4 linked regions of the Nothobranchius furzeri genome follow. The protein of the gene in region 4 interacts with the protein of the main gene of each other region in a biochemical or structural test. Links are inferred from orthologs where the notes say so. Each region holds a gene or a part of one and is shown on either strand. Other genes may lie near its edges.

Evidence for each region.
Region 1: the proteins of ptpn11a (region 4) and insrb form a complex in vitro, tested with the Homo sapiens proteins (2 studies listed by BioGRID). The link is inferred for Nothobranchius furzeri from reciprocal best matches to the Homo sapiens genes PTPN11 and INSR.
Region 2: the proteins of ptpn11a (region 4) and fibroblast growth factor receptor substrate 2 interact in a test that uses a peptide from one of them, tested with the Homo sapiens proteins (2 studies listed by BioGRID, with this or other methods). The link is inferred for Nothobranchius furzeri from reciprocal best matches to the Homo sapiens genes PTPN11 and FRS2.
Region 3: the proteins of ptpn11a (region 4) and txnipa are reported together in a solved structure, tested with the Homo sapiens proteins (2 studies listed by BioGRID, with this or other methods). The link is inferred for Nothobranchius furzeri from reciprocal best matches to the Homo sapiens genes PTPN11 and TXNIP.

The regions. Positions count from the first base shown.
Region 1 is NC_091748.1:58,180,008-58,184,112, forward strand, and holds part of insrb (insulin receptor b), read left to right. Parts: coding exon 1-21; intron 22-209; coding exon 210-358; intron 359-2,129; coding exon 2,130-2,286; intron 2,287-2,926; coding exon 2,927-3,023; intron 3,024-3,116; coding exon 3,117-3,184; intron 3,185-4,105. UniProt on the Homo sapiens protein: Receptor tyrosine kinase which mediates the pleiotropic actions of insulin.
Region 2 is NC_091744.1:79,870,455-79,874,559, reverse strand, and holds part of fibroblast growth factor receptor substrate 2, read left to right. Parts: intron 1-1,429; coding exon 1,430-1,616; intron 1,617-4,023; coding exon 4,024-4,105. UniProt on the Homo sapiens protein: Adapter protein that links activated FGR and NGF receptors to downstream signaling pathways.
Region 3 is NC_091751.1:26,063,615-26,068,509, reverse strand, and holds txnipa (thioredoxin interacting protein a), read left to right. Parts: upstream 1-1,743; 5' UTR 1,744-1,927; coding exon 1,928-2,183; intron 2,184-2,260; coding exon 2,261-2,336; intron 2,337-2,438; coding exon 2,439-2,586; intron 2,587-2,895; coding exon 2,896-3,255; intron 3,256-3,327; coding exon 3,328-3,630; intron 3,631-3,710; coding exon 3,711-3,755; 3' UTR 3,756-4,313; downstream 4,314-4,895. UniProt on the Homo sapiens protein: May act as an oxidative stress mediator by inhibiting thioredoxin activity or by limiting its bioavailability.
Region 4 is NC_091746.1:40,337,442-40,341,546, reverse strand, and holds part of ptpn11a (tyrosine-protein phosphatase non-receptor type 11), read left to right. Parts: intron 1-2,072; coding exon 2,073-2,267; intron 2,268-4,105. UniProt on the Homo sapiens protein: Acts downstream of various receptor and cytoplasmic protein tyrosine kinases to participate in the signal transduction from the cell surface to the nucleus. Positively regulates MAPK signal transduction pathway. Dephosphorylates GAB1, ARHGAP35 and EGFR.

The sequences.
Region 1 (4,105 bases), on a different chromosome or scaffold from region 4:
GTGCCCGAACGATGCCAGAAGGTGAGATATCAAACTATTTTTGCTTCATCTAAACATACAGATTTACTTTTAGTTTGATTTTGATCAAATGACACCCGCTTGTGCATTGGTCACATAAAAAAACACAAAGTATACCATCATCACGGGTGCAAAATGCTAGGTAGAGATCAGTTTGCTCAAATGTTTCTGTCTTTGTGTGGCTCTGGCAGAAAAAGCAGACGATATCCCAGGTCCTGTGACTCACGATGTTGTGGTCGCTGAACCTCCCTACGTGTTGATTAAGTGGAACGCGCCTCGATCACCCAATGGACTCATCATCCTTTACGAGGTTTTCTACAAGAAGGTCGGAGACACAGAGGTACGTGTCAACAACACGGTAACATGGAGTGCTCCTGACGTCAGGCATAAACCTTTACCCAAACAACGCAGATTAAAACTACACTACACACACATCTAATTAAGGACTCCCCCACCTTCGATAATTTGGATAAAACACACAAAACACATACCGACTACAAAAAAGGATACAAAGCATGCTGAGGAGACAGCAGGCCAGAGACAGATGTCTCCGTTTGCTCCTCGCTGAGGGTGGGTCCAGGCGTGTTTTAGGCCGATTGTGAACTGGGTGCTTTAGGGCGGAGCGAGGTAGAGTGGGATGAGACAGCTGTTGTAGAATAGCGCCTCTCAGCACAAGGATGAAATCAGAAGGGAAAGAGGAGCATGCACCAAAAGAAAAACAAATGGCTGTGGCCGTAACTGAGAAACTTTGTCAAATCTCATTCTGAATGCCTTCCTGTGCTCATCTCGGACTCTACTCGATGAGATCTTGGACTGCCGGACATCTAAGGTTTTGAGTAAAGGTGACGCCTGGCTCAGCTCACACCATCGGATCAGTCCGGACGTTTCAAAACAGAAATGGGAGCTGGACCTGGGTGTTGGATTGTCAGAAAAGGCCTGGCACAAGACGTGAGACACAGTATTATTTAGCTCAAAGTGGTGCACCATTTGCTTTGGTCCAAAGACAGACTGCAATAATGAAGCCAGACTTAGACCCAACTTGTTCTGGACCTGCCTGACACGACAGGGATATTGGAGGCCCAATTTTGATGAACTCTCTAGGATTTGTGCGACCACTGTGCACCCTGACCCCTTGACTGCTCTGTTTGTGGTGGTCACAGTGGACGATACAGCAGATGGTAGCCAACAGCACATAATAGCTTTATGCTATTTGTGAGCCATCCTGTCCGAGTGGAAAGATGCTCGGCCTCAACCACTTTATTGGAGAAATTATGAATCATTTGGACCTGGAGAGGATCAGACATGGTCTGAAAGGGTCAGCTGACAATTTTGATGTTGTGTGGCAATTGTTTGTCTCCTATTTTTAAGAATGTACCATAAGACAATTGGTGATTGTTTCTATTACTATGTAAACTTGTTTTTGTGTACACACTAACGCTTTCTAGTGGGTGGGTGTGTCCGTGTTGAACTTTGACTGTGTGTGCAACAGCATGTGTGTTCAGTGTTGTTGTTTACTTGCAGCAAATGTGTAAATAATCTCACTGCTATTCATTGCTGCACCACCATCAGCAACTCTGTTGCTATAGTAACAGAAGCAGAAGGCTCTAATGCAGCAGTGATGGAGGTGCATCTCCACTGCACTACTCTGAAAGCATTGCAAACTTTAGCTCTTTCAAACAACCGATGCATTTTTCATTTAGGTTATTATTGGTATAATTATGATTATTAAAAAAAATATCACTGGATGGGCAAAAAAAATGTGTCCATTTACTATAAATTCTACCAACTTCTCCATCAACTATAAAACCAAGCTGTTTTTCTGACTAGTATAAAAGAAACCAAACAAGTGACTCGGGTGAACAGCAGAAGTCAGACTAGATAGTCACAAAAAAATTTTCTACCTCATAGGTCAAGAGAATTATTGAAATTCAGTGAAGCATTTCCTTCTCACCTATTGGTGTTTTTAAAGCTGCGTACATGTTCAGCATATTTTGCTAAATGACCATTTCCATATTCTCTTTGCTAAATCCATTTTTATGGTTTGGGTGAAGTAGCTGCTTTTCCTGTCGCCCTCACTGATGCTAAACTGTGTTTTTCATACGTTCTTCCAGGTTCACACAGTTTGTGTGTCACGGCCGGCTTACGTCAACATGAGCGGGACCAAGCTCCACCTTGTTCACCCTGGAAACTACAGCGTGAGGGTTCGGGCTACGTCGCTGGCAGGAAACGGCTCTTTTACAGAAACGACGTACTTCTTCATGCCTAATCGTAAGACTGGAGACTCCATCTCTAACTTAACTAAACTTTTGGTATTTGTTTGCATTTGTTAAAGGGGACATAACACTTTTTGCATCTTTTTGTGCTGCCATGTGGGTCTCTACTGTCTTTATAAAAAATCCTAACATGGGGAAAATGTTTAGTTTTAGGAATTATTTGCCTAAAACAATCCGTTTCAAAAGGTCCCTGTTTGTGATATCACAAATGGGGAAAGTAGAATAGAACAGTTTCTCATGTGCAAGAAAGAGCTGCTGCTGGAGGAGCAGCCAATAGCATCCTGAGTGGGTGACTGGTGGGCGTGGCCGGTCTGCAGCTTGTTTTCTTAAAGTGACAGAGCCCTGAAAAGGCTCATTCTGGAAGTTATGAAACTTATCAGAATTAAAACCGCTGATATGGCTCTATGTGAGAGGGATTTTTTTTACAAAGAGCTTCATAAACATATTTTACACTGACAATAGAACTATTAGAACCTAATAAAAAAGTCCCAATATGCCTCCTCTAATAACCCACAGGCTACAACCTGGTTCAAGTCTATTTCACAAGTTTATTATTACATTTTGTACCTAATTTATCTTTTTCCACTGTGAAACTCTGCCGTTCTCCAGCTGAACTGACTCTTTGTTTACTGCAGCTGATCCGGGTTTAGCTTGGATTGTGATCGGCCCGATCATCTTGCTCATTCTGCTGCTGTTCCTGGCTGCTGGTGTCATTTTGGTTATCAAGAAGAGGTGAGATGTGACATCATCATCAAGTGTGCTGTTGTGTCGTGAGATCATTTACAGCATCTCAGATTTATTTTTTTTCCTGTGGTTGTGTTGCAGGCAAAGTGATGGTCCATTAGGAGATCTCATCACATCTCCAAACCCTGAATACTTCAGCGCCAATGACAGTAAGAGTCTTGTAACACAACTAAAACACATCTGAATACGTTTTCCAGCAAAATTTTGCAGCTAATGTCTAAAATTGAAATATACGGCAACCTGTTTCTACAAACACCGACAGCAGTTGAAGGAGCGTAAAGAGAACCAAAATCAAAAGAAATGTTAAAGCTGCTGCCTGTGGCTCATTTGCGTTGCCAAGGTAACCACAGTCTTGTGATACCCTAAAGTTAAACCTCAAACTAATAGTTGCTGTGCATAAACTATTGACCATCTTCAAAACGGTCGTGATCAATGAGAGGCGGAAGAGTGTGATGGTCGTACATTTATTAATGTTTGTGTCTGAGTTTTATGTAAGAGATACAGTTTTTAATAAAAAATAAAACTTAAAAAAAAAAAGGAATTTCAGGTGAACTGGAGGGTGTACACCAGGGCTATTCAATTCCAGCACGTTGTAGTGGTTTCTCTAGTCCAACCCACTAGAGTCAGTGGTTGAATTACCTACGCAGCAGCTCATCAGGCTTTGCAGAAGCCTGTTAATCGCCTACTAATTAAAATCAGGTGTGTTGAAGCAGCGTTAAAACCTAAACATGCTGGATACCGGCCGCCCAGGCCCGGGATTGAATCCCCCTGCTGTACACACTTAACTCAGAATTTTTGGGCGAAAGAAGTCAGAAATGTTTCACATTTAATGTGTATTAAAAACACCCGTTGTGTGTGAAGTTTAAGTTTTCAAATATTGAGGAAAGCTATGTCACATGAAGTAGAAAAATTTGCACCATAATCAAAAATTTGTTTAAAAACCATAAAACGTTTCAGTTCTGTTGTTTCTGATAAAGATCCTTTTCTTTTGTAAGTTACAAAAAGTCCTTTTTTCTCTCTATTTGTCTTCTCTGTTCAAGACACCCATAAAAATCTTGGTTTTTTTGTGC
Region 2 (4,105 bases), on a different chromosome or scaffold from region 4:
AAAAGTGACGTCATCAAACCAGACACAGAGAAAATGGCCGTAAGTTCAGCAAACTGTCCTTTGTAGGGATGGACAATATATCGGTATCAATATCTGCCGATGTTAGTCGGGTTTTTAACATATCGGTATTGGTTCGATAAATCAAACCGGGCCCATATTAACAACCGATATTTTTTCCATCTCGTCTCAATTTGTTTGCCTGTTTCAGAGGGTGGGGGTGGTGATGTGAATGAAATCATCTCAGAAGCGTGTGTGTGTGTGTGTGTGCGTGTGTGCGTGTGCGTGCGTGCGTGCGTGCGTGCGTAATAACATAAATTCAGCTTAAATTATTTCATTCTATACAAAATCTGCTTATTTTAGAAGCATTAATGTCAGAATATCTGTATCATGAGTATCGGTTATCGGCCACACCAGTGATCTTAATATCTTAATATATATTAATATCTTAATATATCCAAAAATGTAATATCGGTGCATCACTAATCGGTGCATCACTAGTCCTTTCTTCAGAAGGAAACAGCCACCATAAATCAGGTCATGTGGTAAGTAGCAGCTACGCTAGGGGGAGGAGATTCTGTGGTGACGTCATATATGCGACATACCGACATCTGGTGTGTAGTCATGCTAATTACAAACTTTTACCAGCTGATAAATCTCACAGTACGTGACTGGCGTGGTCGAAACATCATCATTACTTTTCACTTAAATAGACGTACAACTTGTGTGATCCAGGGCGTAAGGCAGAGCGGGTTAGGAGATGGCTTTTATCCCCATTGACTTGCATTCATTTTTTCGTTCCTCCGGGGACCCATGAGCCGACCGGAAGGGGAGGAGCCTTAGTGATTATATTAACCGTAGACCTCATAGGATTTGGGCATTTTAATGCCCAGTTATCAAAGTAAACAGCATTTTGTGCAGTGCCTGCCACTTCCGGACCCCCATCTGCATTTGGTGACATCTAGGTAACGTCATGTGAAACCTAGCAATAAGCAGCCATCCGCCACAACTCACTAGGGATGGAGAAGTTCGCAGGCACACACACACTAACAACTTATATCCCAAGTAGCGCTTCCATGGCTACATTGTGATTTCTTACTACATAAACGGCACCTTGGGGTTCCCTTTGCTCTGGGACACCAGGATGGAGAAATAGGCAACCCTCACGTCTCTGACTGCAGAGTTAAAGGAGGTCAGAAGGTCCTTTAGATGCAGCAGATGGACGTGGAGACGGGTTTTCTTCCACAAGCGCTCAACTTTTCTGCACTGTTGCTTCAGGCTGAAGTTAAACCAGAAAGTAGGGTTCACTGCAGGAGCTGATCGGGCTCTGACAGGACAGATGTTGTCCAGGATGGAGAGACAGCGCTCGTTAAAGCGAGTAAAGAATCTGTGTCATTATTAAGAGGAAAAATGTGACTGTGTTTGCTTCCAGGTGATTAATGTTGACGATGATGGAAACGAGCTGGGCTCAGGTGTCATGGAGCTGACCGAATCAGAACTCGTCCTTCACACCCATCGCCGCGATGATGTCAGGTGGCCATACCTGTGTCTGCGACGTTACGGCTATGACTCCAACCTGTTCTCATTTGAGAGTGGCCGGCGCTGCCAGACAGGCCAAGGTACACATGCCTATCCGAGTAACCTGCTCCACACTGGCCATGCTAACCAATCAGCTCACGCCTGTCAGCGATGGGGCATTTTAATACTGAAAACGCCACGTAGCTGCTCAGCAAGGGTGTGGCTTAACGACGAGCTCTTAGAGAGTGACAGCCCTAACCCAGAAAGGTGCTTCTGGGCCACAATAACCTTTGTGGCCCTCTGCAGTCAGAGGTGGCACCCACCATTTTTTTCTGATCTCATTGAACTAAGTTGGATCAGTACTTGTAAGATATCTATAGTCAGAAAGCAGCCAGAACCTCTGGACTAGTTCATCAACTTCCTGTTCAGCCTCAGGTAAAACCAACAGGTAAGGTAGGAAATGTGGTGGCATTTGGCTAAAGTTGCTCTGTGTCTAATGTTTCTCATGCATGCTGTCTGGACCATGGTCTGCTCAGGGTTGGGGTGGTATTGGTAAGTCTCAGATGGGTAGGCTGATCAGCTGATCAGTATTGATTGTGCTGTGGATACACAGGGATCAATATGTGTGTTGGTTTTGTGCACCCTACAGTCTCAGTGACTCGTGTGTTTGCGGCCTTTGGATGTGTTTTCCCTCTTCCTCGTCTGTCAGGTGTTGAAGTCAACTCCACGTTGTCCCATTAGACCTCCTGGTTCAGCCCCAGACTGTCGTCTCTCCACAGGTGTCAAATGGGCCATTCCCATCTGTACCGGGTCGGCCCGGGCCGGGTAGCGTAGGTTGTTTACATATCTGGGTGGCCTGGTATTTTTCCGGGCCAACCAAGGCTCATTCTCAGCCCTCTTCTCGAGGGGGTCTGCTTCAGGCCGACCAGGGCCAACACACCCACTGCTGACAGCAAATTCACACCTTCCATTAGAGCAAGCCTCTGATTGGTGGGTAGAATCAGCCCACATGGGCTTAAGACAAGGATGTGTGGAATCAACCGGGCCAGGCTGGGGCCGACTGGGGCTACCTGGCCCGGGCCGACCCGGTACAGATGGGAATGGCCCAAAACTCTGGTCCTCGAGGGCCGCTCTCCCACCTGTTGTAGTGTTTTCCTGTTTCAACACACCTGATTCCAACCAACAGGTGATTAGCAGGCTTCTGGAGAGCTTGATGAGCTGCTGCACAGGTGGATCGACTGTGTTGGAACAGGGAAACAACAAAAAGATGCAGGACACCGGCCCTGGACGGCTGGAGTTGACACCTGTGGCTTAGACCAACCAGGGGCACGTTAGCGCTGTGATGGAGTTAGTGGGCTGACCTGCTCTTGTGTTGATGGCCCCCGTGTCTGCTGAGCGTTTGTTGGACTTGGTATCTAAGCTAAGACCTGCTGGTTACCCACATTACCCCATGCTAATTAGAATTTTAGGATGTTTTTGAGTTGTTAACTCTAGGAATGGGCGATGTGGCCTAAAATCTCTATCGCCCTCATTTCTGAAGCTCATGTGGTGATGATACTTATTGCAATATGTTCTTTTCCTGTTTATACATGTCTGAATGACAATCTCGCATACCAGATGAACTGCAGAACAGATGAATCCAAAAAGTATTTGATTACTTTTCATGTTCAAAACTTATTTAAATTAAAATCCTTATGTTAAGGTTCTTTTTCCAATAAATGCAACAACTCAAAATGATCCAAAATGGGTTTAATGAAGGCAACTGGATTTCTTTGGTTTCACTTCTCGTCCAAGGAGCTCTGTCAGTTCAGACGGGAATATGGGAGAGTCGAGCTTAGAAGCTGTAGCTAAGGCTGATGGGGCCACTAGTGTACTGGGGAGTTGTACGGTGCCTGTCTGGTGACTTTAGGGTTTGGTTTCATCAAATATGTTGTGGTCAAACAGATCAGACCCTAAGAGGCTGAGTCCCTGACCATAGCCCTGACCACTTCCTGTCTGTAGACACTGGGGTTGCTCTGGATTTGGTCCAGATGTTTGGAAGAACTTGGTCTGCATTAGAGCTCAAATGACCGTCAGTTTTTGCAACTTTTCTGGTTTGCAGCTGCTCTGAAGGCTTTGATGCATTTCTGAGAACAGTCGTGTTCAGCATTTAGATGGTGAAGGGAACTGTCTGACTGCCTTGTCTGAGTGTGTCAGAAGCTTACCTGTCGCAGGTAAATCAGGAGGAGGACAGGTGAAGGGAGACCTGGAGGAGTTTATGGAAGGATGAATCCTTCTAATCAGCTGAGGAAACATCTTTAGCCACCTTGTTGCTGTTCAACTCTAAAACGTGTGTGTGTGTGTGTGTGTGTGTGTGTGTGTGTGTGTGTGTGTGTGTGTGTGTGTGTGTGTGTGTGTGTGTGTGTGTGTGTGTGTGTGTGTGTGTGTGTGTGTGTGTGTGTGTGTGTGTGTGCGTGTGTGTGTGTGTGTGTCTTGGTGGTTAATCATTTTCATTTTGTGTGTTTTCAGGTATTTTTGCCTTCAAATGTTCTCGAGCTGAAGAAATTTTCAACATGCTGCAGGAGGTGATGCACAATCACAGCATCAGTGT
Region 3 (4,895 bases), on a different chromosome or scaffold from region 4:
TCAAAGGTGAGCAGGATCAAACCACTTTTGAGGAGGGGGAGGTTTGCTGCATTTTTGTGGTTGAAATATAATGTTTCAACCAAGCACTATATGCTTTTTATATTTTTCAAACACATGGTAAAAATAAATGTTTCATATTCTCAAATTTTAGGGGTGCATTGATTTAATTTAGGGGTGCCTCAGCTCCCTCCAAAATGGGCTAAAAATGCCCATGACCTGTATGAATCCTGGCTTGATCTGTGTCAGGCCCCAATGAGGCAGGGGGAACCCAACAATGCACCAGCATTAGCACAGCCACTTAGCCAGAGGTGGACTGTGGAGAGCTTCTTGTCTTCTGCGCGTGCTTCAGTCGCAAAAAATTCTTTGTGTAAGAGGGGGATCCAGTGTGCATGCCCCAACTACCATAAGTCTATTTTAAAGATTTCTGCTCCCCAAAGAAACAGGAAATGCATCACACGACCTTTCGGTCGTGGTAAGACTAAAGGCTGATTCATGCTTCTCCTTCTGCGTCAGTGCGGAGACACGCAACGTCATTATCCGTCCTTGCGTAGGGCCCCGGCAGGCACGCAAGTACGTACGGAGTCGAGCCAACTTTTTTAAACATACGTCAAACGAGACGGAGAACGCAAGCTTGTGATTGGTCAGGGCACCACTGTCGTCTACACCGCCGCCATTGCGCCCTCAAAATCATAAAGAAAGCCGAGAATAACTAGTGGCAGACACGGAGAAGCTTGAAGAATACCTCGCGAAAAAACTCTAAAATATGAACGTTTAATTGCCCCGTGACTGGAGGAGTGAAAAGTTACGCAGCAAGCATTTTATTTGTGGACGGAAATGACAGGAAACGTGGGTTTAGAGGTGGCGAGCGCATGAAGAGGTGGAGGAGAATGAGAGACAAATTTGTCGTGTTAAAAAGTCTCTTATTTACAAAAAACACAATATAAACACACTATGTTGGACTGGATACATGACAGGATACCACAGAACAGCGCTACGCCCTCTGTTGTCCTGACGGGGAATTGCTTTGCAACACTTCCCAGGAGACGAAGAAGTATGAGAGCAAAACACTTCCGTCAATCCGTGTGTGTCTGTCCCTTGCGGAGCTGACGGAGAAGCATGAATCAGCCTCCAGAGGACATTTTTAAACCACACTTAAATGCAGAATAAACAGAGCACTTATACTCTGTATAATTATAGATCATTTCATGGAATTTTCAGGGTGTTTTAAAAGTATGTTAGGATTTCTATCTTCTTCTTCATCTCCCTGTGAGACTGGTAGGGTGGCACCCCAGCGCTCCCTGTGACCGCCACTGCTCCTGAACTATTTTTCTGAACAGAGGCTGTTCAGGACGTTATCTACATCACAGCATTACTGTCCATCTATCTGCTTTTTCAACCATCTGCTCATATTTTGTAATTTTGAAACCGTTTTTCCTTCAGCTATAATGTCCTTTATACTAAAAATGTTTTCTAACAATATTGTCTAAGCCGAACTGGAGCGGCAGGTGCAGCGGATCAGGAATGATATCCTTTAATATTGACTCTTATTCCCCAGTATTGTGCCTGTTCCGAGCTGTTTACTAACTGAGGAGCATTTCTGTTTCTGTCTCAAACTTCGTGCTCACATCAGCTCAGCACGCGCTGCAGCCTCACTGCCATGCAGTGTTCACGCGCTGAATTCTTCTGCTGATTGGCTGGAGGCGAGACAAACAAAGGATTTCGACCAATCGGAGCCATGTGCACGCGCTGAGTCACAGCGGACGTCCCAGCTGCACATGCTCTGCACGCGCTGCTGGTATAAAACGGTCAGAGTCTTTGTTTACAGCAGAGAACAGGGAGCGGTTTAGGAGGGGATAGCTGTCTAACTTTCGGGCGTTGTAACGCGAAAAGCTCACATTGCTGCGCGAGTTGGAAACAGAACGCAAACATGGTGGCAATGACGAAAAAAGTGAAAACCTTCCAGGTCGTCCTGTCGGACCCGTGCAAATCGTTTTACTGCGGCGGGGACCGGGTCAGCGGTCGGGTCGAGGTGGAGGTGTCCGAGGTGACCCGTGTGTCCGCCGTCAAGCTGCTGGGTCTGGGCTGCGCGAAGGTGGAGTACGCTAAAGGCAAGCAGCGGTGCCGCCAGGAGGCCGAGTACCTTCGGTACGAGGAGGTTCTGAGTCTGGGCGACCAGCCCGCAGGTACATGGGGTCCGGGGATTCTCTCTGGGGCATCATCACAGCAACATGCTGATCACAACCGTCTGTGTATCTTTCAGACTCGGACGGATCCGTAGTTCTGAGACCCGGTAACAAGTATGAGTACCCGTTTGGGTTCGACCTTCCTGAGCAGGGGTAAGTCGGACCCAGTCCATCTGGGTCTAGGACGCATCACTGACCTCTAGAGGTAATGCCTTGGGTTTTAACAGGTCTGCTGTGTTCGTTCTGGACTTTCAGTCAGCTGGTGTCGTCATACAAGGGCAAGTTCGGTTACGTCCAGTACTATGTCAAGGCCCAGATGGAGAGACCTCAGCAGCCCACGGTGGAGAGCAAGAAGTACTTCGAGGTGGAAGAACCTCTGGATGTGAACACTCCGGACCTGCTGGTGAGTTCACTAGTGGGTCAGAACCAGAGCGATCTGGTTTCACTTCGGATCTTCTGTTTACATGGGAAACACCCCACTGTTTCCCTGTGCGTGTGCGCGCGTGGTTCCACCATGATACAGTAGATAAGAGGTATCACGTGACCGGCGTATGCAGGAAGTTTAGAAGTGGACTCAGAAGCTGCTCCCAGAGAGGCAGATGGTTTTATTTCAGTAACAGACAATCATGCATGATGACTGGTTCCAATCAGCAGCTCCTTTTTACACACCACCACAGTTCTGGTGATGACAAACTGCTTCCTGTGTCTTCAGTCTCCTGCTGGCGGCATGAAGGAGAAGAAAGTCACCTGCATGTTCATCCCTGATGGCCAGGTGTCGCTCAACGCTAAAATTGACCGCCGTGGTTTCTGCGAGGGTGAAGACATCTGCATCAACGCCAAATTTGAGAACACATGCTCCCGCATTGTGGTCCCGAAAGCCGCCATCATAGCCAAGCACACATACCAGGCTAACGGGCGCACCAAAGTTTTCCGCCAGAAGCTTTCCTCTGTGCGTGGAAACCACATCATCTCAGGGATGTGCGACGCCTGGCAGGGGAAGACCATCAGGGTGCCGAAGATCAAACCGTCCATGCTGGGCTGCAACATCATCCGAGTGGAGTACGCCCTGATGGTAAGTCTGCTTCCTATGGGAGGACTCTGTTAGCCCTGGAACATGGTGTTAAGGTTCCTCATTGTTTCCCAGATTTACATCCACATCCCCGGCAGTGAAAAGCTTATCCTGGAGCTGCCCCTGGTCATTGGGACATCTGGGATTGGCAGTCGCACTAACAGTGTGAGCAGCCAGGAGGGTTCGATCAGCACTGCCTCTCAGAGCTGGGTGTCCCTCAGGATGCCCGCTGAACCCCCGAGCTACTGTGACATCACTAAAGACTGCCGTCTGGACCAGCCGCTCACGCCTCTTCTAGATGATGTGGACTGTGATGACAGTCCCATCTTTATGAACGCTCCCAGCTTCCAGTTCCCATCCCCTCCAGCCTACTCTGAGGTAGGTCTCACACCAGTTAGCTCCATGGCTAGCACCAAGCTACATGTGGCATTACATCTCAAGGTTTTTTTGTTTTTCAGGCTGAGGAGTACAAGGGGAATGCTCAGATGCTTCCTGTCTGCTAAAAGTCCCGAATCCTGGAGGGGTTGTCCACCTCTCCGATTGTTCTTCTAAAGCGCTTCCAAAAAGCTGAAGGTCCAAACTCCAGATGGGATGGGATGTTGGATGGAGAGTTGAACAGAAATGCACTTGCCTGTTACCATGCTTCGTCTTCCATGCTGATGCAGAATCTCCCTCCTGGAGCTGTTTGGGTCGGAGTCCTGAAGCCATCACTTCCAGAGCCTGTCCACAGGCCCAAGAGGCATTTGAGTTGGATCCAACCTGCTGAGATGTCTTCATGAATCATTCCAGTCAGGACTTAAGGAGCTGCTGTTTCGTTGAGGTGTAGGAACAACATTCTCCTGAAGATTACAGAACTCTAATGCTGAGTGATGTTTCCAGATGTTTGAAGCCATTTCTTCATGTTTCCTGTAGCACTTTGTACTTTCTCCACGTCTGCTGACCAGGTTGTCTCTGAACAATATTTTTATGTTGGAATGACTTTTATTTTCCAGTTTCCAGGAACCTACTTCTGAGATTTGCCATTGGCAGTTTTTTTTTTTTTTTTTTTTTTTTTTTTTTTGCTGGAAAAACAGAGATTCAGCAACTCAGACCTGATGAAAGCACCTTCTAGAACATCAGCTCCAGTTGTCTCAGGCAACATTTCTGTGATGGTTCTGTAGTTTTTCTGTTGGCTCAAACAGAACTGCAGCGAATGGCTGATGTGGAAATGTTTTAATGTATCATTTATACGTTAAGTATTTTTGTAAGAAGCCCTATGGGTCTGTTTTCTATTAAAGGCACAATGTTAAATGATCTGATTGTTTTCCTTAGCTCCACCTGTTCAGGTGCTTGTAAACCAATACCTAAAAAGTTTAAACTTGAAATTCTGAATGGAAGAGAAACAAGATGATGCTGGTGTCAGACTGGTCTGAGTAGTTCAGAACTTGTAGATCTGCAGGGATTTTAACCCACAACCCTCTGAAGAAGAGAAAATCAGTGAGCAGCAGCTATGATTGAAACTTGTCTTGCTGAGGTCAGAGAAGACTGGTCAGACTGGATCTAGATGACCACATAGTCCCATTTGATGGCTGCTTCAAGCAGGACAAATAAAAGCAACAAAGGAAATATCTGGTGAATAAATTAAAGCTGTTGATGCAGAAACT
Region 4 (4,105 bases):
CACATTCCCGGGAAACCCAGTGCTGCTGCAGAATTTAATTTAAATGTATATTTACGTTCCTGAAGAACATCTGTGTAAAAAATGCTCTTATTTTCAGCTAAAATTTGTTTTTATATACCAGTTTTGAACATTTAATACTTGGTCAGTTGACTGATTTGTTTGATTAACTTCAGTTAGATGTCTGATTTTCACTCTGAGCAGTGCATAAATTAAGATTTACCAGTTAGTTAAATTCAGTGTTCAAAACCTGAATTGGTTTCAGAAATGTTGTGCATCAACTGATGTTTTAGTGCCATTTCAGCATGAAAGTAAGGTGGAAATGCCCAGATATCAGCCATGAAAATCATCAGCACATCGGCCATCGGCTGACCACGACCTTTACATATAGGCATCGCTATTGGCAATAGATGAGCTAATATTAGTCGACCTCTAGTTCTGATCTGCATCTGTTCCACACTTGGTGTAAATGAGGCTTTAGTCTTTTGTCCAGATGCAACAGACAGATGTTCAGGCTGATGACCTCTGATGTGCATGTGATGCAGAGCAACTCAGAGAACAAACATCAGACTTAGCCTTACACCAGCACAAATATGACTTGAAAGAAATGATGGCTTGCTCAGTATGTTCTGGATGTGCAAATAAGTGACTCTTTAATAATGTTTATATCAGGTCAAACTTTGACCGTGCCTGTTGCTGTGGGAGTGTTTTACACCAAAATGGAAATAACTTGCATCCAATTCTGCTTGATTCGTAGTTTTGAATGTAGCGAGACCGCCAACATTATCCAAGCGATAGCCAAAATGTAACTAATGAAAATAAAGTAGCTGGTTTTATCTCTGGGCCTGTCGAGTCATACGTTTGTGAGAGGAAGTGTCATTAAGTCAATTTGGCTGATGTAGACAAAGTTATTTTTGCTGCAGTTTCATATTCTAACAGTACGGTCTCCCGTCGTACTCAGTATGCACTTCACACAGAGACAAAAGCAGACATTTCCATGGGGAAACCAGTTGTTGCTGGTTCTAACCAGCACATCTCCTTCACTGCAGAATTCCCCGTGAGGCCGTTAAAATCTGCTCAGGTCCAGCTCTGCCACAAGTTCTTCTTTTCTATTTCTGAGATAATGGTGATCATGTGTGACTCAGTAGTTGGTTGTCTGTCTGGTTTGAATAGCTAAATGAAACACAGTTTTGTCTTTCAGATCTATTCTTCATCAGTGACATACAACAGTGGAGTTATTCTGTAGAGACAACATCTGATTCTGTTACACTCTGCACAGAAAGGACTCGGGATACAGAGCTGAATATTCCTGCTATTGTATAATAAATGCTCATATCTGGTTTTCTGCTTTATAAGGGGGTATTGAAATTGCAGCATTATGTTTTAGTGACAGTTATTTAACCCTCACATATTTCTACCCTGCTATACTTTATCTCCTGGTGTTGATTACAAGACTTTTTCATGTCTGGTAACATTTACTAGTTTCCTCTTGATGAGAATGAACCCTCTGTAGCTTTAAACGGCTCACGAACCTCTACATCTTAACCCAATGCCATATTAATGATTGTGTAAATGACCCTTCCCGGCTTTAGCCTGTTGTTTCTGCTAACTCAGAAATCAGCTCAGACATTTCCGTATTTCTGCAGGAACACAGGATTACACTCTCTAAGAATTAGCTGCTATTGCTAAATAGATCTTGTCTAGTTTCAGCATGTAAGAAGGAATTGGTTCATTATGGTTGTAAAGTTGTAAACACTGGCTTTTTTGGGATTTTGAAACGTTCACGCATTCATCTTCAATTCTGCCATAATGTTGACCACTGATTTAGCTCAAGCTCAGTAGTTTGGCTTATAAAAACACACCATGTGGACTTTTAATCTGCTAGAAACGTGATTTCTTTCATCGTTGTTTTTGAAGATGCAGCTGGACTAGACTGTTGGAATATTTTAGGGATTACTTTTCTACAGCGATCTGCGCTGACAGGATTTTTTATGAGCCGCAGACTTCTTGTTGGATTCTGCTGATGAGCTCTTACACCTGTCTGATTCTGTTCCCTTATTTGGTCTTGTGTTTAGGCGAAATGGAGCTGTCACCCACATTAAGATTCAAAATACAGGGGACTACTACGACCTCTACGGTGGGGAGAAGTTTGCCACTCTTGCAGAGCTGGTGCAGTATTACATGGAGCATCATGGGCAGCTGAAAGAGAAAAATGGAGACGTCATCGAGCTCAAGTATCCACTCAACTGTGCAGACCCCACGTCGGAGAGGTATGAGCTCATGTCCATGATTCTACTTGAATGTGCATTTTTATGCAATGCTTGGTGATTTTTAGAAAGTAAAGTGACAAAAGTAAAAACATCGAGCTGAAACACTCGCCCGTGTGGTGCAAGAGGCTTCTGATAAAATCTGAATCACGATTTTTGTTAAAATTCTATCAAACAATTCTTTCCTTCATTTGTTTTCAAGTTAAAAAAGCGGTTTCTTGGGCATGAATCCAAAAATTCAATGAGAGATGCAAAGAACAAAAATGTATTTTAAATCTTACATTTCATTACTTTAGTATAATGATGCAGTAATATATAAAAAGAGGAATCGTGCATGTGCTGTTTGGACTTGGCTACAGCAGTCTGTTGTGATGGTTGTGATTTCACGGAGGACCAGCAGCAGATGTTGACACGCCACAGATGTTGTTTCTGGGTTCCAGACTGAATAATTATCTATGTTCTGTTGTGTGTGTGCGAAATCTGCCCAAATCTGTCAACAAAACACTCTAAAGCAGTGAACCTCAACTGGTGGCCAGCGGGCCACATCTGGTCCATCACACCTCTCCCCCTAGCCCTTTGGGCCCTAATGCCCCCCAATTGGGGGACTTTTTTAATCATTTTTTTTATCTTTCTTTTCATTTCATTTTCATTTTTTTGTTTTTGTGAAGTGCTTCATGATTTTTATCTTGAGGTGCTTTATAAACAATTGTTTTGTTTCTTTCTTTTGAAGTTTAGCAGCAAAATTCATGTCCCAAATATCAATAATGGTTTACGTTCTCCAAACACAAAAATACAATCAAAGCAGTTTAGATGGAAAACAAATTTTAAATATTAACAAATTAGGATACAATAATACTTGAACTGTATTTAGGAAGAGCATCTGGCACTTGAACACATGTAGTTGAGGACCCTTGCTTTAAAGTGTCAGATGGAGTTTCTGTCTGGTCCATCTTTACTGTGTTTCATTGCAGTGATCATGCTAACACACACACTGAAACCAATGACTGGGGCAATGTTTCTGGTTCTTTTGGCTTTAGACAGAGAGCTGCGATGTTTACATGCAGCCTCAGAGGAGGAAAAGAGAGAGAATTCCTTACTGATTTGGAACCAGTCATGGTGTTTTTGTTAGCATATCTGATTTGTACCTTCTGGGATTGTAAAGTGAAGAAAATAACTGAAAGCCAGAAAATACACATAGGAAGGCAAAGCGGACCAAAAATACCTTATATAGTCCCGTTCACTTATATTCATTCCTTTTAGTTCAGAGGACCCCTGAGCCGACAGGAGGGGAAGGCATTTAGGCTTCCTGGAGTCGGCGTTTATTAAAACTGAGACCACATGTATGTGAGAATGAAGTTTGTGATTTCTGATTTTATTTAGTTTTTTTCAGCCGTGCTGTAATTATCTCCTGGTTTGTTGTGGGTTTTTGAGGGACAGAGGGATGCTTCAAATACAAACAATCCTCCGGTCCAACATTGTAATTTGGGGCTGTAATACTTTTTTCTTTATGTTCCTTTGAAGAAAATTATAATATTGTTGTCCTTCAGGGTTCAGCAAACATTTAAATGAATGAACCACTCCTAAATCTGATTTTAGATTGGACACTTTTCATCTCAGAAGACTGAGAGAGCCAACATATAATCAGATTTCAAGGTTTTTATTATCTGTCGTCTAATAATGACAAATGCTCCTCTGTAGTAGTTATTGAATATGAGTGCCTTGTTGGTCTTTTCACAACACTGTTATTTGGGGTTTGAGCATGAGCGCATTTTAGTACAAATAAAAAATGATTTATTTTATAATAAATCAAAGTTTCTGAACAAAATCGCATTTCTAAAGAA